2 linked regions of the Diceros bicornis minor genome follow. The protein of the gene in region 1 purifies or fractionates together with the protein of each later gene. This does not show direct contact. Links are inferred from orthologs where the notes say so. Each region holds a gene or a part of one and is shown on either strand. Other genes may lie near its edges. The genes, in order: CRY1 and FBXL3.

What was found.
Region 2: the proteins of CRY1 (region 1) and FBXL3 purify together in Homo sapiens (affinity purification with mass spectrometry; 4 studies listed by BioGRID and IntAct, counting the BioPlex papers as one, with this or other methods). This does not show direct contact. The link is inferred for Diceros bicornis minor from reciprocal best matches to the Homo sapiens genes CRY1 and FBXL3.

Annotation. Positions count from the first base shown.
Region 1 is NC_080764.1:17,164,213-17,180,320, forward strand, and holds the start of CRY1 (cryptochrome-1), read left to right. Parts: upstream 1-8,777; 5' UTR 8,778-9,611; coding exon 9,612-9,769; intron 9,770-16,108.
Region 2 is NC_080748.1:56,524,033-56,539,105, reverse strand, and holds the start of FBXL3 (F-box/LRR-repeat protein 3), read left to right. Parts: upstream 1-7,389; 5' UTR 7,390-8,009; intron 8,010-12,178; 5' UTR 12,179-12,179; coding exon 12,180-12,521; intron 12,522-15,073. UniProt on the Homo sapiens protein: Substrate-recognition component of the SCF(FBXL3) E3 ubiquitin ligase complex involved in circadian rhythm function. Plays a key role in the maintenance of both the speed and the robustness of the circadian clock oscillation.

The sequences.
Region 1 (16,108 bases):
GAAAGCAATGGAGTGTGCTGGGCAGCCCACAGCCTCCCGAGTCGGGAAAGCCTGGGTCTATTTCCTGCCTTTTCCACTTTTGAGGGTAAGTTATGAGAGTAAGTTATGAGGACTTAACTACTCTAGATCCCAGTTTTCTTATCTATAACATGGGAATAGTAATACCTATCTGAAATGGCTGTTGTGAAAATTAAATAAAATCATGTATCTAAGGTACCTAGCAGAGTGCCTAACATAGTCATTCTGTTTGGTGCATATTAAGGACTCAACTGATCTCAGATATTATTAATAGTATTTTGGGTATTTATCCACTCATTCATTTAATATATATTGTGGGATGTCTTAGAGTCCATTCAGGCTGCTATAACAAAATGCCACAGACTGAGCAACTTATAGACAACAAAAATTCATTCCTCACAGTTCTAGAAGCTGGAAGTTTGAGATCAGGGTGCCAACATGGTCAGGTTCTGGTGAAGGCCTTCTTCTAGGTTGCCAACTTCTCACTGTGTCCTCACATGGTAGAAGGGGCTAGGGATCTCTCTGGAGCCTCTTTTATAAGGCACTAATCCCATTACGAGGGTTCCACCCTCAAGACTTATGCATCTCCCAAGGGCCTCACCTACGAATACCATCACCTTTGGGGGTTAGGATTTCAACGTATGAATTTTGAAGGGACACAAACATTCAGGCCATAGCATGGAGCTTACTCTATAGAGTAGGGAAAGACATATTACTATGGACGGAATTGTGCCCCCCACCCCATTTCAAATGTCGGAGCCCTAACCCTCGATGTGACTGTATTTGGAAATAGGGCCATTAGGGAAGTAACTAAGGTTAAATGAGGTCATAGGGTAGAGATCTAATCCAATAGAATTAGTGTCCTTATAAGAAGAGGTACCAGAGAGCGCTTGTGTGCTCTCTCTCTCACTCTCTCTATCTTTCTCTCTCCTCTGTCTCTCTCTGCCATATGAGGACACAACCAGAAGGCAATCCGCCAGCCAGGAAGAGGGCCCTCACCAGAACCTGATCATATTGGCACCCTGATCTCAAACTTCCAGCTTCTATAACTGTGAGAAAATAAATTTACGTTGTCTATAAGCCACCCAGTCTGGGGTTTTTTGTTATGGCAGCCTGAGTTAAGTAATACACACTTGTAACCAAATAGATAAATACATAATTCAGGTAATCTTGAGTACTATGAAGAAAAAGAAAGCTGGGCAAAGGGATTATAGAATGATGAGGAGTATAGACACAGTGGACAGGGAAGACCTCCCAAAGGAGATGACACTGGGGCAGACACTTGAAGGAAATGAGGCAGGAGCTATGAGAACATCTTAAGAAAGAATGTTCCAGGCAGAGGCAACAGCAAGTGCAGAGTCTTTGAAGTGGGAGCATTCTTGGCCTGCTTAAGGAACAGCCAGAAGTAGAGAGTGGGAAGGGTAGGAAGGCAGGCCAGATCCCAGGGCCAGATAGCTTGTGTAAGGTCTTTGGAGTTTCTATAATATTTGGCTGGATTTTGTGGCAAACACAATTTTTTTAAATTAAGGTAATATTGATTTTCAAGTACAGTATTTCTTAGTCTACAAATCAGAGCCCAAAAGCAGTTGTCTTTATTTTCCTATCGCTAAACTTAGTTTTTGTCTTGAAGTCTCAGTCTGCTCACTGGTTGAAAACTGGTCTAGTTGATTCCAGGTTTTCTTGGTCATTTCAGGAATTTCTTGTCATCTTAAGTTTAAACTCAACCAATTCTGAAAAATATCTCCTTTCCTCTGCTTCTCTCCAGGGTAGCATTTAAGTCCCCAGATGTTTAGGGAACAATGCATCTTTAGAAGGAAGGGAGTTGATCTGGCTGTCATTCCTCACTTGCCTACACTGACATCTGCTGAATGTACAATCCTGTCAGGTCCTCAGATGTGTTATCTTTCCAAGACAGCATCTGTTGAGATGCCGATGTTCCCATCCAGTCCTTGGTCACAACCTCTTGTGACATTTTGCACCACACTGTCTCCCTTGGCAAAATCTCTTGGTTAGCTGGCTTTCTTTTTCAGCTAATTTTCACAGCCCTCTAAGGAAGAGGGGACATCTAGAAAAATCCAGCTGTTCTCTTAGCCAGCAGGAGGCTTAGCAGGGTTTCCCAGGTCCTCTCTGTCCAACGAATCCCTCATAGGCTGTGCTGGGCCACAGTAAAGTAATATGGGGACTTCTATGAGGGTCAGCCTCCAGATTTCAGATGGGAAGTTGGGCACAAGTCTTTTCTACTCACAGATCACCCTAAACTAATGTAGGATCTGGAACTAAGCCTGAATAAGGATAGATGAGACACTATCTTCTTATTTCAGAAAATTTATCTATTTCATTTTCCTTGCACTCATATCCCACCCCAGCTTAGAGAACTTTTATATAGTGTTGAGGGAAGGGATGGGTAACGGCAAATCTTTCCTGATTTATATCTGGATCAAGGCTCTTGAATTCGCAACAAAAGTGTTGGACTACCTTTGTCCTCCAATTCTACCCCCGAGGCAACAAAAGACCCACATCCAGTGACCTGCATAGGGATGGTCACAGGACAAAAAAAAGATGTGTGGGGAAAAAAACATTGGCTAATATTTCACAATATCATGTTGCCACATTTGTGACTATTTACATTTTCTAAATGCACTTGGTCAAGAAAAAGGATAAGAACAAGCAAGAAAACTGTTCGCAAGTACATCTTTCTGGACTCGATCAGTTAACGGATTCTATCAGTCAGTGCCCAATGAGGAGACAGAAACCACACAGTAAATCCAACAGGGAATGTTTCATGAAAAGAATTATTAATTATCACAGGAGATTAATTATAGAGTCGGAAAGAGAACTATGAAGAATACCCCAGGGGCTGGCCCAGTGGCGTAGTGGTTAAGTTCACGTGTTCCGCTTTGGCGGTCTGAGGTTTGCTGGTTTGGATCCTGGGCGCGGACCTACTCACTGGTCATCAAGCCATGCTGAGGTGGCATCCCGCACAGAAGAGCTACAACTCTACAACTATGATATACAACTATGTACCGGGGCTTTGGGGGAAAAAAAAAAAAGAAGAGGGAGATTGGCAACAGATGCTAGGGCAGGGCCAATCTTCCTTAAAAAAAAAAAAAAGAAAGAAAGAAAGAAAGAAAATACCCCAGGACTGAGGGAGAGTACCCAAGGAAGGACAAACTTGGAAGGGAGAGGACCAAGGGTCTTCCCCAAAGGTGGGATTCAGAGCTCATCGGAGAAGGTGTGGTTGTAGCAACTGGATAGTGAAGAAGTTGACTGGGTTGCCCTGGGCCACAGCTGGTCTACCCTCACCAGGCCAAGGCTAGTGGGAAGAAAACCGTGGTTGGGAATGGCCACAGGCAACACCTGGCCAGAATGCAGGTGGGCTGAGGCAGAGTAGTACCTACTGGGATGCCTGCAAGACTCACTGGGCGTCAACCAGCAGGGATGCCACTGAAACTTGGTAGAAGTGAGCTCCACAACATGTCCCTCCCCCAAGCACCTCTGACAGTGGTGGAGTAGGAGCAGAAAAAGAAAACAAGCATTCCAGAACCAAGAAGACAAGCCCCTTCCTCCTGCGGTTTTCCTCCAGCGCCCTCTACTGACAATGTTTAACACGGTGCCAGCGGTGATAGAGAAATCCTTATCCCTAGGGTCTAGTTCCATTAACATAGAATAGGCATGAAAAGTGAATTTGGAGCTGAGAGGCAATAAATTGATAACTGACATGTGGATGAAGTACAGTGTTTATGTGATCAACTGGGTGTTACCATGGTCTCTGGAAGAACATTTATTGAGAGTCTGTTGAGTACCAGGCACTGTGGCACGTGTTAATGATATAATAAAGAACACAAATAGACTCAACTCTCTACCCTCCTGGAGCTTGCATATGGGGAGGGGGCAGACCTGGATTGCCCAATAATAAGTAAGCAAACAACCAAAAAATACAGATCACAATTGGTGCTATGATGAAAGTAAATAGGGAGCTATGATAAAGACTAAGAAGGGCCCCTTTTCTAGAATGAGCAGACAGGGAAGACCTCTCCTGTTACCACCCAAGGGTGGGGATGGGCGGGTCATCCGCCCATCCCAAGACATGCCGGTAGTCAAGAGGCAAGGTGGTAGGAGAGAAGAGGTTTTTTATTACAGCTTGCTAGCAAGGGGGAAGATGGCCGACTGATGTCCGAAAGAACCGTCTTCCAGAACAAAGACTACAGGCCAGTTATATAGGGGGCTGGCCTCCCAGTGGGCGCATCCATCTGATCTCTGGGTAGGGGCAGACATCTGGCCTTAGTTACTGATGGTCTTTTGTTTTACTGGATATGTATCAGAGACCGGAGCAACGCCCTACACCCTGATCTTTCAGCTGTCGTTGATGATGGCTATCAGCATAGACTCTCTGCCTGGGAGTCATCACGTTCCTAAGGAACTCAAAAGAACAAAGTTATCAACTTATAGCAGCTGAGAGGGGCCACAAAATCTGCAGAGCATATCTGGGTTAGTTATCAGAGGTCATTCCAAGTTACAATATGGTTTCTTTTCTACAATATGGCTTCCCTTGTGTCAACCTTGTGTTAAGCCAGTATCACTCCAAGAAGGTGAGAAAAATTATGAATGACTGAAATGGGCAAAAAAATTACTAGGTCTCTTCAAGTTATTCTCTGCCTGTCATTATCTTTAAACTATTTTACAACTCTTTAAATCGTAGATTATTGATAGCAATGCAAACGAATCTTGTCCATGGACACGCACATGGATATTGTCCTCTGAAAGTGCAATTGATTTCCCTACCCTCACCCCTTTGTAGAAGAAGTTAGTTTTGCATATAATAAGAAAATTCATTTTTAACATTCCTCATGGCCTATATATGTAACTGCTCTTTGGAATCTCCTTTTATTCCATTGTAACATCTTACTGGTTCCCTCATTAATTAACAAGTTAAGTGAAATCTTTGACATGTGTTCATTTTATATTCATATGAGAGTCATAATTTACCTTTTTAAAAAAATAATGATCCTTTAACACATCATATAAATTCAATCCCCCAAAGACTCTAGTGTTGGGGATCACTCAGCCAAGGGCTACCAGCCTAATATACACATCACATCAAGACTGAATGAGCTGGGCCGGCCCCATGGCTTAGCGGTTAAGTGCTCACGCTCCGCTGCTGGCAGCCCGGGTTTGGATCACCGGCGCGCACTGACGCACCGCTTGTCTGGCTGCGTCCCATGTACAGCAACTAGAAGGATGTGCAACTATGACATACAACTATCTACTGGGGCTTTGGAGGAAAAATAAATAAAATTATAAAAAAAAAAAAAGACTGAATGAGCTGATTGCACTGTCTACCCCTTCATTATGTGTTTGTTAATAACATGTCAAAAATCACCTCTGCAAGATGGGGTCAAGAGAGAACACAGGCTTTCAATTTAGAGGTAACACATTTTTATCAAGGGCGCTCATGAAATCAAAGAGATATTGATTTTTCTAACATAGTTGGCAGTTGAAAGAATGTTTAACAGGACTCTTCATAGATATTTTTGAGCCCATGACAGGGTTGTGTTCATAGAATCCTAGAATTTTAAAATAGTATAGAAAATTTAGAAATCATCTAGTTCAATCGCCTCCTTTTATAGATAAATTAATCAGGCCAAGAAAGCCCAGGTGATTTGTTCAGGATCATCAACTAAATGGTGAGCCGAGAGAAAATTCATTCTCTTTCTCTTAGTCCCATACTCTTTCTACCACCATGATGTTGAAGTCAACCAGAATATCACAAGAGATTCCTGACAACACTCCCCATCTTTTCCTTCTCCCTTCATACATAAATACTCACTCTGAAAAACAAGGGGAGTGGTAGTGTGAGTGAGGAATAGTATATGATAAAGAAAGAGCTTGGATTCAGAAACAGTCTTGGTTTTTCACCTAGTTTTACTACTTATTTGTATTTCTGAGCTTTAGTGTCTTTATCAGCAATGTGGGCATAAGTTATTATTAAATAATAATAAGCTGCCTCAAAAGATTATTATTAGGGTTAAGAATAACCTATATAAAGTGCCTGGCACATAGTAGGTGCTATTATTAAATGGTTACTACACCCCCATAACAAAGATATATTAAAGTAACCATCTGTATGCCATAAAAACCCTTCAGTCTTTGAGGAATGCACAGTTGACAGTACTGATGCTTTTATAATAAATTAGTACTTTTATGTGTAAATGAAACTTACACACACACCCACATACAGCTGTCAAAAAAATTCATCTTTATTGAATGAACAATCAGCAAACATAAGTCAACTCTACACCAATCAATATTGTCTCTCTACCTCCCACTGTTTCATTTGGATGTTTGAAAACAATTCTTATGTCTTTAGACACAATCTGCTTACTTTCAAACTGCCTAAAATGAAACATGAAACAATGTATTTTTGTTTTTGTGAGGAAGATTGGCCCTGAGCTAACATCTGTGCCAATCTTCCTCTAGTTTATATGTGGGATGCCGCCACAGCATGGCTTGATGAGCGGTGCGTACGTCCACGCCTGGGATCCAAACCCGAGAACCCCAGGCTGCCAAAGTGGAGCATGCAAACTTAACCACTATGCCACTGGGCCAGCCCTGAAACACTGTATTTTTAAAACTACAATAGGCCTGGGAATATGAGGCAATCCAAGTGAAGGCACCACAGGAATTTATTGTCTCACAGTTTTGGAGGCCAGAAGTCCAACTATTGGCAGGGCCATGCTCCCTCTGAAGGTGCTAGGGAAGGATCTGTTCCATGCTGCTTCAAGTAGTTCCTTGGCTTGTGGTAGCATAACTCCAATCTTCACATGGCATTCTCCCTGTGTGTGGGTCTGTCTCTGTGTCCAAATTCCCCCTTTTTATAAAGACACTAGTCATATTGGATTGGCCCACCCTAATGACCTCATCCTAACTTGATCATCTGTAAAGTCTTTACTTCCAAATAAGGTCACAGTCACAGGTACTAGGGGTTATATGAATTTTAGAGGGACACAAGTCAACCTGTAACAATTGCCATATCCTTCCTCCTTGTAACCTTGCCAAACACACTGGTGGCAAACAGATTCATTCATTCACTCAATATTTGAATACATGTGTCAGGCTCTATACCAGTGTCAACTTAAAAAGCAAATTTGCCAGTTATTTTACCCTCAAAATAAGTTTATTTGAGAATAGCCAAAAGAATTGCAATTCAGGATGTGCATGCAATGGCAAACCATAGGCAAATTCCGAGAACAAAGGAGGAGAGCTTGCTTTCATAGACAAAAAGGGGGAGCAGGGAGGGGCTGTTCTAAACAAAGTCCATTGGAGAAAAGTGACAGTTCAGGGGCTGTAGCCAGGTGGGGAGAGAAATCTTCCTTCAGTAGTAAAATAGTTGTACTTACTGCCAGAGATGCAAGCTATGTCTCTTCCTGAGTAACTAACCATGTATGATAGAGCCTGAGAGCTCCCCCTACAGACCTTCCCAACTTTAATTTAGTTAAGGTTTCTCTTATTCATTTCACACTAGGTATTGATGATGCAAAAAACAAATTGGACAAAAACTCTGTCCTTGAGAAGTCACACTTCTCAAGTTATCATAATGCTATTATGATAACTATTATGATAATAAAAACTGATATTTAGCACATATTTTGTGTTAGGTATTAAAGTAGGCATTTTTCATTTAATCTTCACCATAGTGTGATAAGTGATGCATCAGAGACATGCCTGGCGAGATGGGGGTGGTCCTAAACCCGCTTTGGAGGACAGGAATATTTCCACAAATTGGTAGCACTTCATCTGAATCTAAAGGGATGTGTAGCAATATACCAGGTAGCTCAAAGGTGATTGTAGTGATTCTAAAGAAGAGCATTTTATGGAGGAAAAATCAGCATGTGTAAAGGTTAAGAGACAGACTGTAAACTCCAAGAGGGCTGGGATTTTTGTCTATTTCCCTCTTGTATCTCCAACACTTTGAACAGTGCCTGGTTCAATAAGTAATTGTTGAATTAATATACGGGCATCACATGTCTAAGGCATGGCATGGACTGAAGTTCATTGTCGCTAGAAAGGTAGGCAAAGGCCTCATCACGAAGAGCCCTGTAAATCGCACTTAGTGCAAGAAATTAGGGCTGACATGTTGATGATACACAGACAGTATAAAGGAATTCCAGGGATGCCTGGCACCCACCCTGCCAATTACCCCTCTTCCCCAAAGCATGTCCAAGGGTGTCGCGCCGCGAGGGCCAGAAGAATGGCAGGGGCACCAGCTCCACACACTCAAAAGTAGGGTTCTCTGGCTAAAGCTGGATTGAAGCACACGGCTGGGCTCGAAGTCTAATGGAGCTTCCTACTCTCCTCCTTCCACCCCATCCTGCCTCACTCCCCTCCCCCAGCTTCCCCGCCGCCGCTTGGACGACACCACGTTGTCTCCAGCCCTTCCGCGAACCCCATGGTAGGAATCCCCCAGCGCACTCCGGCCCGCCGGCCCCGCCCTGCCGCCCTGCCGCCCTGCCGCCCTGCCGCCCTGCCGCCCTGCCTCCCTGCCTCCCTCTCTGCCTCTCTCCCTCTGGAACAGAGTGAGAGCGCACGCGCGCCCTCCCGAGCCAAGCGCGCGTCCGCGAGCTCCCCGCATCCCCGTGCTCATCCGGGTCTCAGCGGGCCTCAGCCAATGGTGGATGCTCACGGCCCCCAGAGGCGGAGCTAAGCCTCCCCTCACAGGGGCCGTGTGGTTACCGCGGGGGCTTCCAGGCCACGGCGACCTGTCGGCCGAGAAAAGGAGCAGTGGCAGAGAGCCCAGCGTCTGGGCGAGGATCGACGGCTCTGAGATCAAGCGGCTGCCGCCCCCTAGAAGCGACTGAATCATGAGCACATTCCCCAGTCAGAGCGGCTGTAGTAAACACATTTCAGAAACGTGAGGTGCCGGGGGTCACGTGGGGACCGCGCCCTCCAATGAGGATCCGGGGGCGGGGCCGAGGCCGCTGACGCGGCGGCGGCGGCGGAGTCACCCGGGCAGCCTCGGGACCGGTCACCGGCCGGCAGCCGTCCAGCGGCCTCGACCACCGCCTTCGTGCTCCGTGCTGCGTTCTCACTCCTCTTTCCCGGCCCGAGAGGCAGCGTGGCCGACAGCTGCTCAACCGTCTCTCGTCCCTCTCGGAGGCTCGCCTCCGGCGGCCCGTTTTCTCTTCAGGCGCCGCCTCGGTGGGGCGAGGCTTCCGTGACGAACCCGCAGGGGCCGCGGGTGCCGGCTCAGGCCGTCGTGGCGGCTCGGGCTCGTGGAACTTGCTCAGCCGCCGGAGGTCCGAGGCCCTCGAAGTTATGCGTCTGGTCCGCGCGGTTGCGGCCGGCGCCGGCTCCTAAAGGGCGTCACACCGGACTCCGCCGCCTGGGTAGCCTCCATTCATCTTCCAGCAGCGCCTCCAGCGCCCTCTCCCTCTCGGGTCCCCTCCTCGGACTCATTTTTTCCTCTCCCCGCTCTGCCGCCCTCCCCTCCCTCCCTGGGTGCGGCGATTCTCCTGGCGGCGGAGGTGTCGGTCATGAGCCGGACCCTCCTCCCCTGAATTTCTCCGGGAGGAACTCGGCGTCCGCCGCGCCCCGGGATGGGGGTGAACGCCGTGCACTGGTTCCGAAAGGGGCTCCGGCTCCACGACAACCCCGCCCTGAAGGAGTGCATCCAGGGCGCCGACACCATCCGCTGCGTCTACATCCTCGACCCCTGGTTCGCGGGCTCCTCCAATGTGGGCATCAACAGGTGGCGGTGAGTCAGAATCCCGTGGGAAATTGATTTCGGTGTTCACTGAATCGGGACTTGACACGCGATCCGCCCCATCTGCGAGTTTAGACCTGGGACCGCCTTGCTTATGCTGTTTTAAGAGTGTGGGTGCTTTAAGTATTAAATAGAACAGACTTACTAGCTCCCTGGCCCGAGCGTGCTGGCAGCCTGGAGCACCCAGGCCTTCGTGTGTGAGTTACGTGTCTCTGCGCTAATGGCAACTCTTCCCCTGGATTTATGGAGACTTATTAGTGGTGGAGTGAAAGAAACTCCCTCCCAGTCCTCAGTGGCCCGTGGATTGATTTCCTTGGCCTCGTTGTGGCATTCGAAAGGATTGCGGGTTTTAATGTTTACGTTTGTGTGTGTCTAGGTAACTCATAGTAGGGAGAAAATCATTCATTCAGTACAGTTGCCTCCAAATCCGTATTTCTCCCACCTTGAGGTTGCTGTAGGAAAAGCAAGGGAAACGGCATTGTCTGATTTCTCTCTGCCTAGCTCTTCCTCTCAACTCCTCCTTGTGGTTGATTAGACAAAGCACAGTTTTTCTTTCCAGGCAAAGTATAATCCTTCTACGGATCAGAGCCCTGGGAGAAATCTTGGAGAAGCTTTATGATCTTTTCCTGAAATATCAGGCTAGATGATTGTTAGGCCCCCTGGTGGAAATGAAAGCATTCCTTCAGTGGGTAGATTATTGATCACCTGCTGTATACCAGGCACTGCTTTAAACACCAGGGATATAGAGTGGAATGAAACAAGCAAAAATTCTTGTCCTTTTCGAGCACGTGTCCCAGGAAGTGAAATATATAGTATTTGGTGGTGATAAATGCTGTGGAGAAATACAGAGCAGAGAAAGGGGATAAAGAATACGAGGGAGTGGGATTAGAGTTGCGATTTTAAATATGGTGATCAGGAAAAACTCAAAGAAGGTGGCAATTGAACAAGGTGATGAAGCAGGTAATAGGTTGTGGGTATCTGGGGGAAAAGCATTCCAGGCAGAGGGAACAGTAAGGGAAAAGGCCCTGAGGTAGAAGTGTGCTTATAACCTTTGGAGGAAACAGCAGAAGAAGCCAATATGACTGGAGCAGAATAAGTGAGAGGAAAAGTAGTAGATGAGCTCAGAGATTTAATAGGCCCAGAACGGGTAGAGCTTTATAGGCAATTGTCAAGATTTGGGCTTTTACTCAGAGCAAAGTGGGAATAATTGTAGGATTATGAGCAGAGAAGTGACTTGATCTGACTTAAGTTTGAAAAAAATTTCTCTGGCTTTGGTTCTGAGAACAGAGTGAATTGGGGGTGGAGGGGGACAAGAAGCAGGGAGACCAGTTAGGAGGCTGTTGCATGCATCCAGACGAGAGATGGTAATGACGTGGACCGTAGTGATAGTGGTGGACTTGGTGCGAAGTAGTCAAATTCTGAGTATATTTTGAAGGCAGAATCCACAGTATTTATTGGCAGATTGGATATGTGGTGTCAGAGAAGGAATCAGGAATGATTTCAAAAGTTTTTGGCTTCAGGAAGTAGAAGGATGGAGCTGCTCTTTGTTAAGAAAGTGAAGTCTGTCAGAGAAGCCATTGGGAGGGTGATTGGAACTCTCGTTTGAACTTGGTTAACTTTGAGATGTTGATGACACATCCAAGTGGAGATAGCAGATAGACAGTTGAATGTATCTGGAGTTCGAGACAGAGATCCAGGCAGAAGGTATAAATTGGAGAGTCATCAGTTTATAGATAATATTTAAAGCCATTTATTCATCTATTTATTCATTGAACAAATATTTGTCATGCACCTACTACATGCCAGGCACTGTTTTAGGTTCAAGGCATTTAGCATAAACAAAATTGCTGAAAAATTCCTACCCTGTTGAAGCTGCATTCTAGCAGAGCCGTGAGACTGTGTGAGAACATTAAGAAAGTGAGTGTAAATAGAAAGGAGAGGAGGTCCAAGGACTGAGCCTTGAGTACTCTAATGTGTAGAAATTGTGGCACTGTGGAAGAACCAGCATAGGAGATTGAGAAGGAACATCTAGTAAGAGAAGAAGAAAACCCATAAGAGTGTGGTGTCTTGGAAGCCAAGTAGAGAAAGTATTTCAAAGAGAATGTTTTACCTACATCAAGTGCTGCAGATGGGTGAAGTGAGATGAGGACTGAAAATTAAAAATTATATTTAGCATTTTGAGGTCATTCATAGCCTTGACTAGAGTGGTTTCAGTAGTGTCAGAAGCAAAAGCCTTTTGGCATGGCTTAAGAGAGTCTGAGAGGAGAGCAGTTGGGAGAGAGCTCGGATAGACAGCTTTTTTAGGGAGTTTTGCTGTAAGGGGATCAGAGAAATGGTCTGGTACCTGGAGTGGGATGTGAAGTCAAGAGAGGATTTTTTTTTAAGATGGGAAAAATTTTAGTATATTTGTATGATGATGGGAATGATACAGCAACTATATATAAAACACTCTTTTGGGGCCTGCCTGGTGGTGTAGTGGTTAAGTTCCCGGGCTCAGCTTCAGTGACCGGAGGTTCGCAGAGTTGGATCCCGGGCGCAGACCTATACACTGCTTATCAAGCCATGCTGTGGCAGGCATTTCACATATAAAGTAGAGGAAGATGGGCACAGACGTGAGCCCAGGGCCAGTCTTCCTCAGCAAAAAGAGGAGGATTAGCAACAGATGTTAGCTCAGGGCTGATCTTCCTCACACACAAAAAAACACAACACTCTTTCATTAGCAGAATTAGTGTCATTAACGTTGATTTTGGAAAAAGATGATAAATGTAATATATTTTAATGTATTAATATCTTAAAATAATATAATAATTCCCTTGTCATAAGACTATTCGGAGGATTAAATTAGTTGACAAATGTAAAATGCTTAAAATGTGAGTAGTGGGTAGTAAGTGCTTGTTTGCTATTTGCTGTTAAATTGGAAGCCCTAGGTAAATAATATCTAGTTAAATGTCTGCAGTCAGTGTCTTCTAGAGCAGTTTATAAGTTTATAAAATTTAGACTGTAAGCTTCTGTAGGATAGGGGCTATATATTGCTTAACTTTATACACCCAGCAACTCACATTGTCAAATAACGGGTGAAATAAAACTGGTAAGCACAATAGGAATAGTCCCATTTTTTTCTTCTTTTAGAGGATATTTTGGGGCCGGCCTGGTGGCGCAAGCGGTTAAGTGCGTGCTTCGCTTCAGTGGCCCAGGGTTTGCGGGTTCAGATCCCAGCCGCGCACCAGTGCTCTGCTTGTCACGCCATGCTGTGACAGCATCCCATATAAAGTAGAGGAAGATGGGCACAGGTGTTAGCTCAGGGCTGATCTTCCTCACAAAACAAAAAATAAAGGATTTTTTTTAACTACTAAATATTGCCTTTTCTAAAAGATAGATAAAGATATAAATGATGAGTAGAGACAGACTGTTTTCTTCCACTGAAGACTGTTATAAAAAGTCAGGAGCAGAATTTTATTTTTGTGCTTTTCATATAGTAGTAGCTCAGTTATTGTTTGTTGAATCCTTAGCTTGGCATTCAGGCTGTCGTGGGTTTCTGTCTTCTTTCCTTCATGCTGTTTCCTTTAATCAACAACATTTCCTAAATTTTTGGATTTAAGTGAAAAGCAAATTAAAAAAAAATTATTTTAGCTAAGTAAATTAACAAAACTGCCTTTTGATATTGCCATCATTTCATTTAAAAAGGATGCGTTAACATTAAAAAAAAAAGTTTGAAGGACATTGATGCAAAGTAAAGGATGGTCCTTTGATTTGAATAAAGTAAGTGTAATGAAAACTGACTTTGCCTCATTTGATCTGAGACCAGTGAAACTTTATCTTGGATTTGTCATCTTTGGGATTGAATGATTTAAAATATTCCTTCACTTACTTCTTATTAAAATTATACCACACAAAAATTTATACACGAATGTTCATAGAATTTTTATTATTCATAATAGCCAAAAGGTGGAAACAACCCAAATGGCTAAACAAAACATGGTATATCCATACAATGGAATATTATTCAATCATAAAAAGGAATAAAGTACTGATACATGCTACAACATGGATGAACCTTGAAAACATTATGCTAAATGAAGAAGCCAGTCACAAAATCCCACATATTATTTGATTCTGTTTATATGAAATGTCCAGAATGGGCAAATACGTAGAGACAGAAAGTATATTAGTGGCTTCTAAGGGCTGGGGAGGTTGGGGGAGTTGGGCAGTGGTAGCTAAGGGGCACAAAGCTTCTTTATGAGTTAATGAAAATGTTTGTAGAACATTTAGAAGGTGGTGGTTGCACAACTCTGTCAATATACTAAAAACCATTGAATGGCACACATGAAAAAAAAAATCTGCTTACCCCTGTAAGGCCCAGTCTAAATGCCATCTTTCCTATAATACCTTTCTTTATCACCTTGTCTGGGGTGATTAACAGTCTTTTGAACTCTTATACCATTTTTCGAGATTGCTTTTCACATCACCGTTAGTATTTACTTCTTTTATTTGTATAATTGATATGGTCCTCATATATTTATTTCTCCCCCATTTAACAGATTGTACCTTTTCTTCCTGAAGAGAAGGTACCATTTCAGTCCATTAAAAATTTATTTTGTGTTCCTGTCATGGCAGGCACTATTTTTGTTACTGGGGATACAACAATGAATAACACAGAAAAAGTCCCTGTCCTTGAGGAGCTTCTAGTCTAGGAAGAGAAACAGACAAATACATAAACATAATATGTCAGGTGGTGGTAAGGTGGTAAGTGTAATGGAGAGAAATAAAGGAGAATGTGAGAACAAAGACCAAAAGGGAGGGAGGAAACAGACTAGGCACATATCTGGGGAAGAGCCCTCTTTGTATTCTCCACAATGTCTAGCATTATGTCTTGTACAACGTAGGCATTTAATAAATATCTTTTTAATTTTCTTTGTAAGTCTAGGGTTTAGGAGTGGGGCAGTTACTTCATTTAACTAGATGCTTATGTGTATCTTTTTTTTTGGTGAGGAAGATTGGCCCTGAGCTAACATCTATTGCCAATCTTCCCCTTTTTGTTGAGGAAGATTGTCCCTGAGCTAACATCTGTGCCATTCTTCCTCTATTTTGTATATGGGACACCGCCACAGCATGGCTTGATAAATGGTGTATAGGTCTACACTCAGGATCTGAAGCCACTAACCTGGACAGCCAAAGGGGAGCGCTCAAATTTTAACCACAGCATCACCAGGCCAGCCCCCTGTGTATATTAAACTCATAATTCAGAAAAATAATTCTCTGGGCTGGCCTGATGGTGTAGTGGTTAAGTTCACACTCTCCGCTTCGGCAGCCAGGGGTTTGCAGGTTCGAATCCCCAGTGCAGACCAATGCACGGCTCATCAAGCCATGCTGTGGTGGCATCCCACATATAAAATGAAGGAAGATGGCCACAGATGTTAGGTCAGGGCCAATCTTTCTCAGCAAAAAGAGGAGGATTGGCAACAGGTGTTAGCTTAGGGCCACTCTTCCTCACAAAAAAAAGAAAAAGAAAAATAATTCTCAATGAATGGATTATTTTTAATATCTAAACTTCAATATGTTTATTTCACAGTTGATGCTATCACATGTAGAGTCTGAATTTTCAGTAACCAAATCTATACATGTACCTACATCCTTACCCAGTCTTTCCTTCTATTATATAATTTAAGTGCAAGAGATATTGCTTTCCCTATTCAAAACCAATCTCTTCATCTATACCCCATTTTAAAAACTTTGCTTGTATTTTTTCCAGCTTTATTGAGGTATAATTGACAAATAAAAATTGTAATATTTAAGGTGTACAACATGATGTTTTGATATATGTATACATTGTGAGCTCATTTTTGAGTATTTTCTCTCACCTTTTCTTTTAACCTCTTTTTAGGTTGCTTGCAATCAACATTTAAACAGGCTTAAATCCAAGCTCTGTAAAAATGAAAAAACCAACAGAGGAACAAAACCTCCCCTTGACTGTGTTCGTCTCCTGCAACTATGTTTCTCAGTGGCTTTATAGCCAGACTTTAGGAACAAGATGTCTAATACTGGCTGACTTTGTTTCTTTCTCTTCTGTTCACCCTCAAACCCACTCCAAACTAGTCTGGTTCCACCTCCACCTACTCCACCGAAACTGTTTTCATCCAGAGGATGCTTTTCAACTTTTCATTCCTTGACTTTTTGCTCTGACACATTTGACCACACCTTCCTCTTCCCTCTGCTTTAGTTAGAGGACCCTCGTATGTTTTTCTGCCAGAGCTGTTAGTGTTCTTCCTTGACTTCTCTTTTTCTGTTCAGCTCTTAAATGCCCCTTAGGTCTGTAATCTCTACCCTCTTTTC
Region 2 (15,073 bases), on another chromosome or scaffold:
TCCTCCTCCTGTGGGGAAACGCCAGACTGGGAGACTAGAAAGAGGTTCAGAAAAAGGAAAGGAGATGGGAAAGAGAAAAAAGAAGTCAAAGAGTGGGAAAGAACATGTGGAGAATCCTTATGAAACTATAAATCTAGAAGGCCCTTCCCTTGTATGGTTCAAAGGAATGCCTAAGGGTAGAACCGAAAGTTCTGTTCCTCGCCGACTCAACTGCTCTTTAGAGATCTACCTGCCCCTCCGGAAAGAACTTCATGCATCTTTCTAGTAAGGTCTGCAGTTGATCCGTCAACTTGGAAGGCAGGAAATCCTTCAAAAAGAGGCAGTCATCATGCCCAGTCATTTTCCTGGGCCTTCATCCCCATCCACCACCATCGCTATATTACTAGACAGAATCATTCTTGATTAATGGCAGCTATGGAGAAGATGCCACACCCACCCCCACTCCCCGACACAGGACACAGTGGAACCAAATTCCACGATCACCTTTCAGTTAAAGGGAAGCATCATTTGAGACCCAAAGAGGAGCCTTTCCGGGTCAAGTTTGCACTGGTAAGCAGTTTTTGTTGCAACCAAAAGAAAGCAAATGCAAAATAACTTCAACAAGCAAGAAAAAAATGAAATCTCTGGGATCCCTCCAGGCCTGGGAATAGGGTAGAACCAGGGCTGTGGACTCTGGCTCCATCTCTCCTCTAGGTCCTCTCTCTGCATCTATTTTGCTCTTCTCTCTCACTGCAGAGCACTTTTTTCTGCTTTCCAGACTAGGTAGTAGCAAATGACCACCCGTAGCTCCTGGGTCTATATGTTACAAGTCCAAGCACCCAAGGAAGGGACTACTCTCTTTTGGTATTAATTCCAAATTCCCAGGGGAGGGACTGTCTCAGCTTGGATGGCGTGTGCATTTCTGGACCAATCAACTGTGGACAGGGGCCAGATTCATGTGCTACAGGAAGCCATTACTAAACCAAGTAGATGGGGAGGAGCTTCCCCCAAAAAGAGCTGCCAGGCAGGCAATTGAATAGGTGTCCACTACAGGGCCATAGCAGATTTCAGTCCCGGGAGAGAGTTGAACGTGTTGACCTTCTAATTATGATTCTATCTGCTTACTAACTCCTGGCCTTGTGCTTTTCTTGCCACCTGGATAGATTGCCTCTCTTCTGTCAAATTTCATTACTTTCTTCAAGATTTGATTCAAAACTGCCCTTGGTGAATGAATGAGCTCTCCCTGTCTATCCCTGTTCCACCCTGCATCTCATGCCCTCAGCACCTTTGTATACAGTGTTAGTCTTATTATAAGGAACTTATACATATTTATACAACTGTTTTCTAATTTCATTGGAGGATGTTATCCTTTTAGACAGCTATCAAAGTACAGAGGAGGACCGAGGACTTTCCTCCTCTGCAACCACAAAGCACTTTGTAAACAGTGGAGGAGAATGAGGAGAAGGAGGACGAAGAGGAGGAGGAGGAGGAGGAAGAGGATGGAGAAGAGGGGGAAGAGGAGAAGGGGGAGGTGGAGGAGGAGGAAGAGGAGGAGGAGAAGGAGGAACTTAGTAGCTGCAGTTTCTTTCTCCTGTGTTCTATTAACAGATTTCCTGTTTTCTGTGAGGACGTTCCCCATTCCTTGTGGGACTCGGGAAATTGGTGAATCATAAAAGCACAGATTCCTTGTATGATCTGAGTCCTCTGGTCCATAATCAAACTTACTTATGACTGCCCTCTCGTCACCATCCCATTCACCTCTTAAGATTCTTTCCTCCCCTGTAACATCTAACTGCCATCTACTCCCCATGACAGATTTATTTTAGTCACAACATGGCTCAAGTCCAGGACACTATACCATAAGCTCTGTCGTGTCGTGTTCTTTCATTCTTCAAAGAAACATTTACTGAGCCAGGAACTGTTCTACGAGCCTAGGATCTGTGAATAAAACAGACTAAGATTCACATTTTCATGGCGCTTTATTCCTCTAGAATATACGGGGAGACAGACATTAAACAACAGACGTACAATACATAATATGCTAGGAGGTGATATGTGCTGTGAGGAAAAAAAATAGGGCAAGGGGGCATTGGAGTGTTATTGTCATGGTTTTCTTTATTTTTTGGTTTTAGCGGTACATTGTTGGATTTGATTAACTAATATTTCTTTTCAAATTTTGCAGCTATTTTCAAAAGGGAAATGGGGCTACAGTTTTTTTCTTTTCCATATTTGGTTTGGTAATCGTGATTATACTAGCTTTATAAAATGACCTGGTGACTTTTTCTCTTCATTTTTTCTCGAACAACTTGTATAAGAAAGGATTAACTCTTAGTTGGAAGTCTGGTAGGGCTCACTTGTAATTCTCTCTGGGCCTGGGGTTACTTGGACGAAAGGGCTTTGAAAATTACTTCAGTGCTTATTGATCTGTTCAAATTCTCTACTTCTTCCTGCCAATTTTGGCATTTTATATTTCTCTAGGACTTTATTCTTTTTATCTAGGCTTTCCATTTTATTGGTTAATAATTATTTATAACATACTTTTATTATTTTAAATACCTGTGGTGGCTATATTTGTTCCCCCTTTTAAAAAGTATGTATTTTGTTAATTTGCAACTTTTTTCCCCTTCATCAATCGGACCAGCGTTGTATCTACCTTATTCACTTTTATTTTAACCAGGTTTCGTTTTTGATCTTCTCTATTTATTTTTTTCCTATTTTATTGATTCCTGCCCTTGTGTTTGTTATTAAATCTCGTCCAGTTATCTACTACTGGAGGACAAACTACTCAACACTTACTGGATTAAAACAGTAATTTATTATTGTCTCTCAGGGTTCTGTGGGTTCACTGAGCATTGCCCCCTGAGGCTTTGTCTTCCTAAAACATGAGACTGGTTCTTTGGATACACTGTCCAAAGAGTAAGCATTCCAAGAGACTCAGATGAAAGCTTTAAAGTTTCTTATGGCCTAGCCTTGATTTAAAACATCACTTCTGCCTCATGCTGTTGGTGAAACAAAGCCCAGGTTTAAGGGCAAGGGAGTAGGACTTCACATCTTAATGTGAAGAGCAGCATTTGCCTATGGGAACGGGAGGAATAGATGATAGCCATCTTGTAAGCTGTCACTATAATTTCTTTCTTGATGTTTCACATTTTTTCTGTTGCTTTTTTTCTCCTTTCTTTTTTTTAACTTATTGAGGTAAATACTTGGCTTTTGTTAAATTTTACTTGTTTCTGGATTACTATATTTAAAACTAGGAATCTCACTCTAAGTGTCAGTATAGATGTTTTTCACAACCACTGATATATATGGTATTTTCATTATTATACAAGAAAATATTTCCTTAATCTTGGTTTTCATTTACTTTCTAACTCATGTATTATTTTAGTTATGTTATTTAGTTTCCAAACAAATGGCATTTTTAGCTCTCCCTTTGTTATTCATTTCTAACTTTACCACATTATGTCTCACAAACATAGTCTGTATGATGCTAATCCTCTGAAATTTAAGTTTATTTTGTGGCCTAACATATGGTGTATTTCCTGAAGTGTTTTATTTCTCTACAGTGACTTTTTGCAGTATAAAATTCTACATATCCAAGAGCTTAAAGTTATTAATTGTGTTGTTCAGATCTACAATGATTCTGCTTATATTTTGCCTGCTGGATCTATCAGTTTCTGAGATTGGTGTGCTAAAATCTTCAACTACAGCTGTGGATTAATCTCCCTCTTCCTACAGTCCTATCAGTTGTTGCTTTTGTTACTGAGCAATGGGCTCGCTCTGCTCGCAGTGATCTGAGCCAATCACTCACAATGAGTTAAGGATGGAGAAAGGAAGCTTTAATTTGATTAACCAGTATAATCAGGAAGATGGCAGGCTAATGTCTAAAAAAAACCATCTTCTAGGATTACAGAACCTTGAGGTAGTTATATAGGGAAAGTGGGGAGTAAGGAGGGGGTTTAGAAACGTCAGCTTTCAGGCATGATGGGCTCTAGGGTCTTTCATTGTTCTTTTCTTCTGTCAGTGATGATGGATATCTTGTAGGTGTGTTTCCCACCTGTAGTCAGCCTGTTCCTAGAGAGAAACTCATAGAACAAAGTTTTAATTTATCAAGTTATAGGGGAGTACGTATGTAAGTGGAGGCCATAAATCAGGAGAGCACGTGAATTTTTTTAGAGTACATGCAGAGCAGTGAGTAGTCACACAGAGGAGGGGCTGGGGTCATTTAGCGTAACAAGGTGTACTTACTAATGTTTACTTACACTTTGTGCATTCTGTACATTGTAAGGTGCATATATGTTCATGATGATACCATCTTCTTGCTCTGTTTTTTCTTTTATTAATGTATCTTTTCCCTTATGACATTATTTGTATTGAATTCTATTTCATCAGCTATTAGAATTATTACTAAAGCTTTCTATTAATTCATTTATTTTCAATTCTATATATACTTCCCATCTAGTTATTATATATTTATATTAATCATATGTATGTTTGTGAAATTCATAAAAAATGATTATTTAAAAACTAGATGGATATAAAAAACAAATTAGAAATTTCTGGAATGGAATTTTCAATAGTTGGTATAAACTCTAGATTGCAGACAGTCAAAGAGAAAATCAGTGAGGTAGAAGATAATATGTGATATAGCAGAGAGAGACAAAGAGATAAAAATATAAAAGGGCAATTAAAAGACGTAGAGGATGAATTGAGAGGAGTGAGTGTGAAGTCCTTAAGACCAAAATAGAAGGATTGATGGGAAAGGATTATTTGAAGAGACCGTGACTTGCACAGGGACAGGAGATGAGTTTGCTAGAGAAGTTGTAACTGACATCCCTGCATAAAGCAAGAATTTTGAAGATCTTTATCCTCCTCAAGGAATGGTTGGCTTACGGCACAGGGAGATGAACAGTAAACTAATCTGTCTTAGCTCGGGCTCTGAGTTAGAGAAAAGAAAAGACTTTTTAAGAATTCATAACCATGGGCTTGCCCTCACACAGGTTGGCCCAAGAACCCAGAAGTCAAGAAATTATTATACAAATTGTTCCAGGCTAGTAACGCCCTGCAGCACCCAGCAGAAGAAAACACAAAAGACCTCTCTGGAGTGACATACCCTCAACAAGGCTGCACAGGATTCCTACAGCTAAAGCTTCACAGATGAACTCACAACCCAAAATCATAAAATATGTGAGTAACAACCTACTATGAGAAAACATTTACAAAAATTGGCATTAGACCCTCAATTATTTCATATAATTAAAATGATTAGAGAAAAAAATAATTAAAAACAAGAGAAAAGAACATCAAGAAAGATCAGGCAGATATGAAAAAGAACCAAGTCCAACTTTTAGAAATAAAAGTTGGCAGAGATTGGCTTAACAGAGACTAAACAGAGCTGAAGAAAGAATTAGTGACTTGGAAGACAGATCTGAGGAAATTACAGAGCGTTCAGTAGAGAAAAATAAAGACACAAAAATATGAAATTAAGAGATATGGAGACAATCTTCCTATGCAAAAAAATTCCAAATAATTTATGTAGACATTACTCCCTCAAGGAGATAGAGATAACTCCCCATCCCTTTAGTGTGGGCTGTACTTAATGACTTCTTCCAAGGAGTATAGTATGGAAAGGAAGAGAAAAAGTAACTTTACAGTGGAGCAACTTGACCTCAATCTCTGATTAATATTAACATCAACAGGAATAAGTCCTTTTGGCATATACCCTTGATGTGATATGATGAGAATGGCACTTTATACATTTGTGATCTTCCTCCCAAACACTCATAACCTCATCTAATCACGAGAAAAACCAGAGACAAACCCCAAATGAGGAACATTCTACAAAATACTGGAGCAGTACTCCTAAAAACTGTGAAGGTCATCAAAACAAGGAATTATAAGATAGTGCTTAAGGAACTACTCAACACAACCTAATCTATTCTGATCCTAGAGTGCCAAGGTGGGGGTGGTGGGGCCCATCCTGGGTGGAAGGGGTACACTGTCTGTGGAGAATTTAACAACAATAATAAAGCTGACTAAATGTTGGTTTGCTTTTTATTATCACATGCACTGGCAATTCTAAACAGGGTTGGTAATAAAATATTCTTTCCTCTTGGACCAAACTACTCCACAGCCACCCTCCCCCTTCCGCCCCAATGCCACAGATCTTGACTAATATAATCGATAAATTAAATAAGTATTGACTGATTCAAAAATAAGCATGTTTCTTTTTTTCTAAAAGGTGAAATAAAATCTTTAAATAACAACAGGGAAGAAGAGGAAGCATTCAGTAAATTGTGCCAAGATCCTTGTCTCCTTTAGGGAGAGAACAGACTGTAACGAGAAATTAAAAAGTGACAACAATTGGAGTGTGAAAGTTTTAATGTGATATAATATCTACTAGTTATATATGCTGATTTCATTTAACGTGTTTTGCTGATCCTTTATACTGTTAACCTACCTTTAAATAAATGGGCCTGTATTTGACTGACTTGTTTTTCTTCCTCTAATAACTATCATTGCCTGTCTTAGAACTTCCTACTGTCCTTTGTCATTAGTCACTGAGGGACCTAAAAAAATATTGCAGTTCAGGTACATCCACATTATTATGTTGGTAGAGACTTGTTTAGCTCGACTTGATGATCACAGAGCCAGGCCCTAACAGAAAGTACCAGCAATTTCCCACACTGAATCTTAACATAATTTTACACATGGCTTCCTACCTCAGTTTGGGGTTGGGGCGAGTGGAAGACTGGAGAGCTCACTGAGCATCACTGCCTTCCAGTCTCTTACACATGGCTCAGATGGTTGAGAAAACATCTTTGAATAGAAAATGTCTTCTTTCTTATTTTTGAGGGAGGCAGGAGGGATGGTGCATGATTCAAGTTAGAAATGGCTTTAAGAAAACCCAGTATCCAAAAATCCAAAGTTTTAAAAGTTAACTAGGTAGCAGTCACACCCAAAGATGCCTGAATGTACAAAAGGCTTCATCAGAGGTTTTATTTTAAATAGCCATCTATTCCTTTGCACTTTCCTCAATGTGTTTCAGAAAGCTATGTACAAATTTCAGGGGTCTATCTATGTTATAATCGTGGTTTTTAAAAAGTAATAACTCCGATGATAAAAATCGTTTCTAGAAAAATTGGAAAATACAAATATTGTAAATATAAAATTCATCTGTAATCCCAGCGTTAACATTGTCACCATTCTGCTATACTTCTCCGCAGTTTTAAAAAACACCTCATGGATATATGATGTGTGTACTATCTTTTTACAGGCCGTATTTGAACTCCTTGGGTTACACGGCGTGGGCGTGGCCATCCGAGGCCGCCTCTCCGCGCGGAGGTGTGTCAGCTGTCAGCAGCTGCTGTCGATCCTTCTGCCCCTGACCCAACTGCTGGGCTACAGCAGGCGCCGGGGACACTGCTTCCTTTCTTCCTTCTGCTCCACCTCCCTAACTTTCCATTTCCAGCCACACATAGTCTCAGGCATCTAGCTAGCTCCAGCCCTCCCACCTTAGGCTGCAAAACGAAAAATCCCCTAAAAGCGGCAGTCACGTCGCGGGGAGGAAGGTGGCCAACGCTCCTTCTGGAAGCGGGAGGCGGAGGCCCCAGCCGCGCCGCGCGGCGCGCGCTCCCGCGTGGGCGCGGCCCACCCTTGCTCTCCTCGGGCGCGCCGCGGCCGCGAGCCCCGGGCGCCATTTTGGACTCGGTGTGCGGGCTGAGGCGCAGGGGGCCTACGCGGTGGCCGCGGCTTCGTGAAGGAGCCCCCTGCGACGACGAGGGGTCCCGGGAGAAGGACGCAGGGACTGAGAAGGACGCTTCCGCCTGGGCAGCCAGAGCCGCAGAGGTGGAGCCGCGTTGGCGCCCGCCCCGGGACCAGCGCCTCGGATGCGGGCGGAGCGCGGGGGTCCGCGGCGGCGCGAGCGGGACGCGGGGGGCCCCGGGGGTCTGATGTGAGAGCCGCGGGAGTAGCTGCCGCCGCCGTCCCCGGAGCCCGGGGCGGTGTGTGGGGGAAGCCGCCCCCGGCAGCAGGTAACGGCAGAGGGGCCGGGCCGGGGAGGGTCTGCCACCGTCGTGGGCAGCAGGGCGGGCCGGGGTCCTGGGGGCGCAGGGGCTGGGCTCGTGCGGGCCGCCCCTCGGGAGCGGCGGGCGGGGCGCGGCGCCGGACCTTGGAGCTGGCCTGGGGGCGTTTCCCCGCCGTGCCTGCTTCAGAACTTGTCAACAAGGCGTGGGGCCGTGCGGCGACCGCGTGCCGCCGCCCGCGACACCGCCGCGCCCGGAGCCCGGCGTGTCAGCCTCGGCAGGGGCTGCTGACGGGCACCGCGGAGCTCGCGCTCTCCGGGCTCTTCCCCGCGTCGTCTGCGCCCGCGCTTCTAGCTTGAGAAGTGAGGGGCGTCAAGATGTCAAAACAGCCTGGCCAGGGTAGGGCGCCGGAGAAATGTCAGGGAAAGCCAGTCCGTGGAGGTGGCGCAGGGAGGAGGGGCCGCCCCGGCCGCGTAGGCGAGTGGAAAACTTGGTCAACTTGTGATGGGCAGCTTCGCGCCTGCTTTTGGCATGGGCAGCCGTCTCAGGTGGGGTTGCAGACGAGATCAGGCAGCAGACTATTAAATGATTGGCTTGCATCTCCCAGCTGAGAGGGGACATTACTATTATTTTGCTGCTGCTGATGTCCAATCGAATGGCCCAGATCTTTTCATTAGAGTCTTTTTCCTATTATCCCTGAAATATTTCTGAATATGCCATCGACTCCCAGTTATCTACAAATGACCAGTAGACCGAGTTTCACCATCACACTCTCCCTACCGTCTAGTTCTGAGAGTTAATCTCTTTCCACTGTTTTATTCTTGTATTCCAGCCAAAGAATGCATTTTAATTTTGATATTAGTCAATGCAGAGCATAAATGGAAAGGAAATGTGATGCCAAAACAGGCTTTTGAGAGCTAAGTGCAAATGGGCTTTTAAAATTACTACATACTACAGTGTACTAAAAGTGCCTAACACAATGAGGGACACACAACTAAGTGTTCTCTTCCGCTCTTCATCTGATGAGCAAGTTGACCGCGCCTTTCAGAGTGTATGGAAATGTTCAGAGTTTGTTCTGTAGTCTCTGCTCATTAATTTGCTTTTTGGCGCTTTGTAGTAATATCAGTTCTTCACCAAATGCTCTCTTGCGTCAATTACGTATATGGGGCCCGGAAACGTTGCAGTTTAAATTAAACTGGGAGCCCTGAAGGGGCCTGGTTTTGGTGCTTTAAAATCTTATTGACGTTTGGTGTCCAGCTTTCTTCTCTGCACTCCTCCTGTTCAAATCTAAGAGGTGTTTTCTCTTTGACTTAATGTAAGGGATAAATAGTCCATTCTTTGCAGAATGGTGGATGCTCTGAATTATTTAATTTTCTGTACAGCAGAGCTTCATGTGTAAATATACACGATAAAATATTTTTGAAAGCAGTGTAACTTTTTGCATGAATAAATGAAATCATCTTGGAAAAAATTGACATTTAAAAATTTTACCAGGTGCCCACTTTCTGTTATTTTCATACATATGTGAGGATAATATAGAGATCATTTTTATTGGCATTTGGCCTTACATTTTTTTCTATTGCTTAATATACTATAATTCTGACATATTACAGTCATATTACATATGACAATTTACAGACTTTTGTTCAGCTATTCATAAACTAGTAAGTGCTTAAAATATACTTTGGCGATCGTATAGTCTTATATCTAGACCAAGAGATAGTATTCCTCAGTGTTGCATATTTCTTTTTAATATGTTCACTTGTTTCTCCTCTCAACTTGGAAAAGTATTGAAATATACTTTATTTAAAACAGGGTTGTAATAGACAAAAGAAAGTATCTATTGTTAGGATCAGCAAAGATAATTCTGTGAATAAGATTGTCATTTTATTTTGTTTATATGTCCATATACTCCAAAGTAAAATGAATCATTCCGTCTTTAAGTTGAATAGTTCTGGGTTTAGAAGACAATCAGCAGAAACAGGCAATCAGCCTTCTATAATAAGGAGTAGAAATTATAAAGATGGCTTCATTCTTTTTTGAATCTCTGTATCTCAAAATTCTGAGTAGTTTTAGATAATCAGAAGAGAAATTATAAGCCCTGGGTAGCAAACTCTTTGTTCTTTGACCCAAATTTTATATGCTAAAATTAAAGTAAGCCTTCAGAATAAGTTAAAGCAGAAAAATGGCTCATAATGACAGTGTTATCTCAACCTCTAGTGGGACGATATTACTAGGAGAGATTTCTTTTTTTATATTGAAGACTGTGTTGTAGATTATACTACCTTTTCTCTAAACACATTTTAAAAAATGTATTCTTAGATTCACATGTAAGTTTTAGTCTTCCATAAAACTACCCTCTTGCTGTCACTTCTTCATTCTGTTTTCTCCCTTCCTCTCCCAATAGGATGTACATCATTTACTTCACTTAACTCACATAGTTGGAAGTAGGAGCAATGAGGAATAGGCAGTTTATTGCACATGTACTAAAACCTCCTGGGCTGATTTTAACGGCATGAAGGCCAAGGGCCTCTGCCATTCTATTTCCCTGCAGCCACCAATCCTCTTTCACAAGTTTTGCTAGCTACTGGATAGAGAGAGAGTCTGCAGAGACATATCTGGTTGAGTCGTGCATGTGCACATCCTTTGTCTCACACACAAATCAGAAATTGTTATATGCTAATGTGCCAGAAGAAGGGAGTTGGAGCCACAAGCCATCGTTTTCAAAAGCTATGACTCCAAATCCAAACCACTACCCTGCCGGAACTGCTCTCTAGAGACAAAAGAAAAGTACTGCAGAGTCTAAACTAAATAGGAGTGCTAGTGAGTGGTCTGCAGTTACCCCACTTCGTTTAGAGCCTGCACTACTTATTTTTCCAAATAACAGATCAAACCCCACCTTTTTATCTGATTATAATGTAATTCATTGACATTAAAAGAAACCTGTAAAATATAGAGAAGCATATTGGCAAAAAAAAACAAAAAAATTCACCTGTAATCCCACCACTATTATGATCTCACTATTAGGAATATAATATAATGCCACTCACTATTATAGTTACCATATTAATGTGGTAAATTCACTTTCAATGTTTGTTTCTCATACATGAGCGTGTGTTCTCGCTCGTTCTCACGCACTCACTCTCTCACACACACACTTCATTTTAAAACAAAAATAGGATCATTCTTTGCCTCTTGGTTGGTAACCTCTGTTTTTACTGTGTTGTGCACTTTAACGTCTTTAACATTGGACTGCTTTCCTATACCTGAATTCAACAATCATGTATCTCCTTTCAAAAGCCCTAATATTATTTAATTTCTTGCATGAACCCTGTGTGTTATTATCTCTGTTATACAAACTGAAGCCCAGGAAGGTCCAGTAATGTGTTCAAGGCCACATAACCAGTGAGAGGTAGAGCCAGGCTTCAGACTCAGGGAGCTTGATTCCAGAGCCTATTCTCTTTAACCATACTACTGTTTTTGCAACAAAAAGACTATTTTCAAAGAAACAAATGGAGTGAAGATAGCACAAATACATAAAATAGAAACATACCTATCATTCAGAAATACAACTTTGGGAAAACATTGTAACAGTAAGAGATGTGTTGGAAGAAGAAACCACATTTCAGACCAAACAATGCTTATTTTTAAGCAGAGGTTGGGTCTGGCAGCAACACATAGCACAGGCTGTTGAATGTAGAAAGATCTGTCAGCTACTTAATTCAGATCCTCTCTGGAGGTTCCTGGAACTCTGGTCTGCCTTGAATTCAGGAACTCAAATACATATAGCAGGTATGGTTAGATGACTCTTAAGAAACCTTTAAAAAGTGTCACTGTAGATTCTCTTTTATATTCGTTTTAGTTAGTTGACTACAACTTTTGAAATATAAATTCTTTGTTTTGTTTCAAAATCATGATAAACTTTTCCCCCAAGTAGTACAGTATAAATACAAATGTTTAAAAACACTTGTATAGAATTTATAAAACAACGATTGGTCTCCAGTGGCATTTTTCATTATATTTTGTTTTGATATTTTTCTTGAATAATTGGTCCAGTTCTTCCTGCACATTTGCATTTGTATTTATAAACACATATATACACATCTCAGTGATAGAAGAATGAATTTTGAATTTATTTCTATTCAAAAATTATGAAAAAATTGCCTTTTTCTGAATAGGATGAAACGAGGAGGAAGAGATCATAATTCATCAGAAGAAGGGACTACAGAGAAATCCAAGAAACTGAGGACTACAAATGAGCATTCTCAGACTTGTGATTGGGGTAATCTCCTTCAAGACATTATTCTTCAAGTATTTAAGTATTTGCCTCTTCTTGACCGGGCTCATGCTTCACAAGTTTGCCGCAACTGGAACCAGGTATTTCACATGCCTGACTTGTGGAGATGTTTTGAATTTGAACTGAATCAGCCAGCTACATCTTATTTGAAAGCTACACATCCAGAGCTGATCAAACAGATTATTAAAAGACATTCAAACCATCTACAATATGTCAGCTTCAAGGTAATACTTTAAATCCTTCTTTTAAAAAATAAAGCATATTTAGTGGCTCTTGTGTCCTAAGCCAGTACATCTTCTCATGTCTTTAAAATAATGCTTTTTTTTTTTTTTTTGCTGAGGAAGATTAGTCCTAAGTTAACATCTGTGCCAGTCTTCCTCTGTTTTGTATGTGGGTCGCTGCCACAGCATGGCTGATGAGTGTTGTAGGTCTGCATCCAGGATCCAAACCTGTGAACCCAGGCTGCTGAAGCGGAGCATGCCAAACATAACCACTACACCATGGGGCCAGCCCCTCCAATAATGCTTTTTTAGAGGAAGTGCTTAAAGACTTAGAATTATCATATACCTTAGAAGCTGTCACAAATGATTATATTTGATCTAAATTACTCCATTTTATTATAATTATTAATAATTTCTTAAAAGAACAGAAGCAACCACTAAATAAGCATAAATCGTTGACCAGAGCTATCAGTCACATTGAATTATTGTGAACAGATTTGAGGAAAAAGAAATATACAATAAAATAAATTAAAAATGTGGAGATTTTTTTTTTTTTAAAGATTTTATTTATTTATTTTTTCCCCCAAAGCCCCAGCAGATAGTTGTATGTCATAGCTGCACATCCTTCTAGTTGCTGTATGTGGGACGCGGCCTCAGCATGGCCGGAGAAGCGGTGCGTCGGTGCGCGCCCGGGATCCGAACCCGGGCTGCCAGCAGCGAGCGCGTGCACTTAACCGCTAAGCCACCAGGCCGGCCCAAATGTGGAGATTTTGATTGCTATCTCTAATAGGGACTGAGTTTTTCTTATTGATGGCTTTATGATACGAGATTTTCAAAGAAAAAGGAGATATAGAAACCATGTAAAAAGTTTAGATGAATACATTTTAGAGAGAAATAGAAAAAGGTACATGGAGAATGCCAAAGAGAACTGTTTGTTTCTTTCCATTGCTAGAAAGGATGTATTGGAAATCATGCAATGATGACATAAGTCAAGTGGGGTGGCTTTTTGAGATGTCCGGAAGAGTTTAAGGAATCACGGTGGTTTGTATAAGTACAGGGGCTGGTAATGTTTGCGGGATGAATAATGGAATGTGGACATGTTTACTAAATCCTTAACACACTTGATAATTATTGTTGAAAAGTAATGCATGAATATCTGATTTTCCTATATGTAGCAGTTGTTAAACAGATCAAGTTAAACCTAGATAAAACAATGGTTCTTAACCCAGAGTTCTTTGCCAAAACTAGTCTTTTCTGCTCCCAAGAGTACATTCCTTCTTAGATGGAGATTACCTGTTTATTCTCCCATATATGTGCCTGAGCAGGAGGAGAGACCTGGTGATGGGAATGGTTGGGTGTATTATGGCCTTCTTCCCAGCAAAATGCACAAAGGCACTTAAGCCACTGGGAGTAGGATTGCTAGGTTTAGCAAAGAAAAATAGAGGATACCAAGTTAAATTTGAATTTCAGATAATCAATGAATAATTTTTAGTATAAGTATGTCCCATGTATTATTTGGGACATACTTAATTCTTATTTAATTGTATGTCCTCTATGTTATCTGGCAACTCTAACTTGCAGCAAGGGTCGGGGAATGAGGAGAGGATCCAAACAAACAAAAATCCAGGAACTTCTCATGTGTTGCCCCTCCCCCGACTCCCTTTGGTTTCAGTCATCTTTGAGTTGTCTGAGAGTGTTCTAATGGTAAATTCTATAAAAAGATGTCTAATATGTTAATCTCATAGGTGTAAAGACAATTCCATACAGTGGATTGGCTGGGTCACTGTTGTTCTTTTACAGCCCTGTGACACTATTCAGCTGTATCCAACTTGTATAACCCTCATAAAACCATTTGTCCTGTAAGTTTAAACATTTTTATTAGGAACTGTTTATTTTCCTGAGGAGGTAATTTCTGATTTGCAAAAAGAGCGACATCACAGGATTCTTCTGGGCTCTCCTGTTAGTATTTGTGTTTAATTCATCGCTGACTGTATGCCAAAGAGGCTTATAGTCAAAGTTATTAGTGTAGATCAGTGATTCTCAAACTATATATGAATCTGAAACACTTGGAGTGCTTGTTGAGCCAAAGATTGCTGGGTCCCACCCCTAGAGTTTCTGATTCAGATGGTCTGGGTTGGGTGTGAGAATTTGCATTTCTAACGAATGCCCAGGTGATGTTGATGCTGCTGGCCCAGGGACCACACTTTGAGAACCACTGGTTTAGAGAAACTTAGCCAAAAGATAATATTATAAACAGCTCTGAAACTGTAATAGAAAGCATATATCATTTTTACAACCAGCTCTTCAGAACATTTTTGGGTTAAGGTAATGTACATCAATCTGGAAATTAAAGTAATGATACTACCTTTAAATGTTCTATTTTAAGATGGTTTTTAGCCTAGGGAACAGCTTGCTTTTTGATAGTGCTGCTTATATCCTTGAGGAGTTTTTTGGCCTTAGCCCAAGATATGTCTATGCAGAAGAGTGTGTAAGAGCAGCTACTTCTCATTTGGTTCAGATTTTCATGCTTGACTGGTTGGAGGCCCTCATTTTAC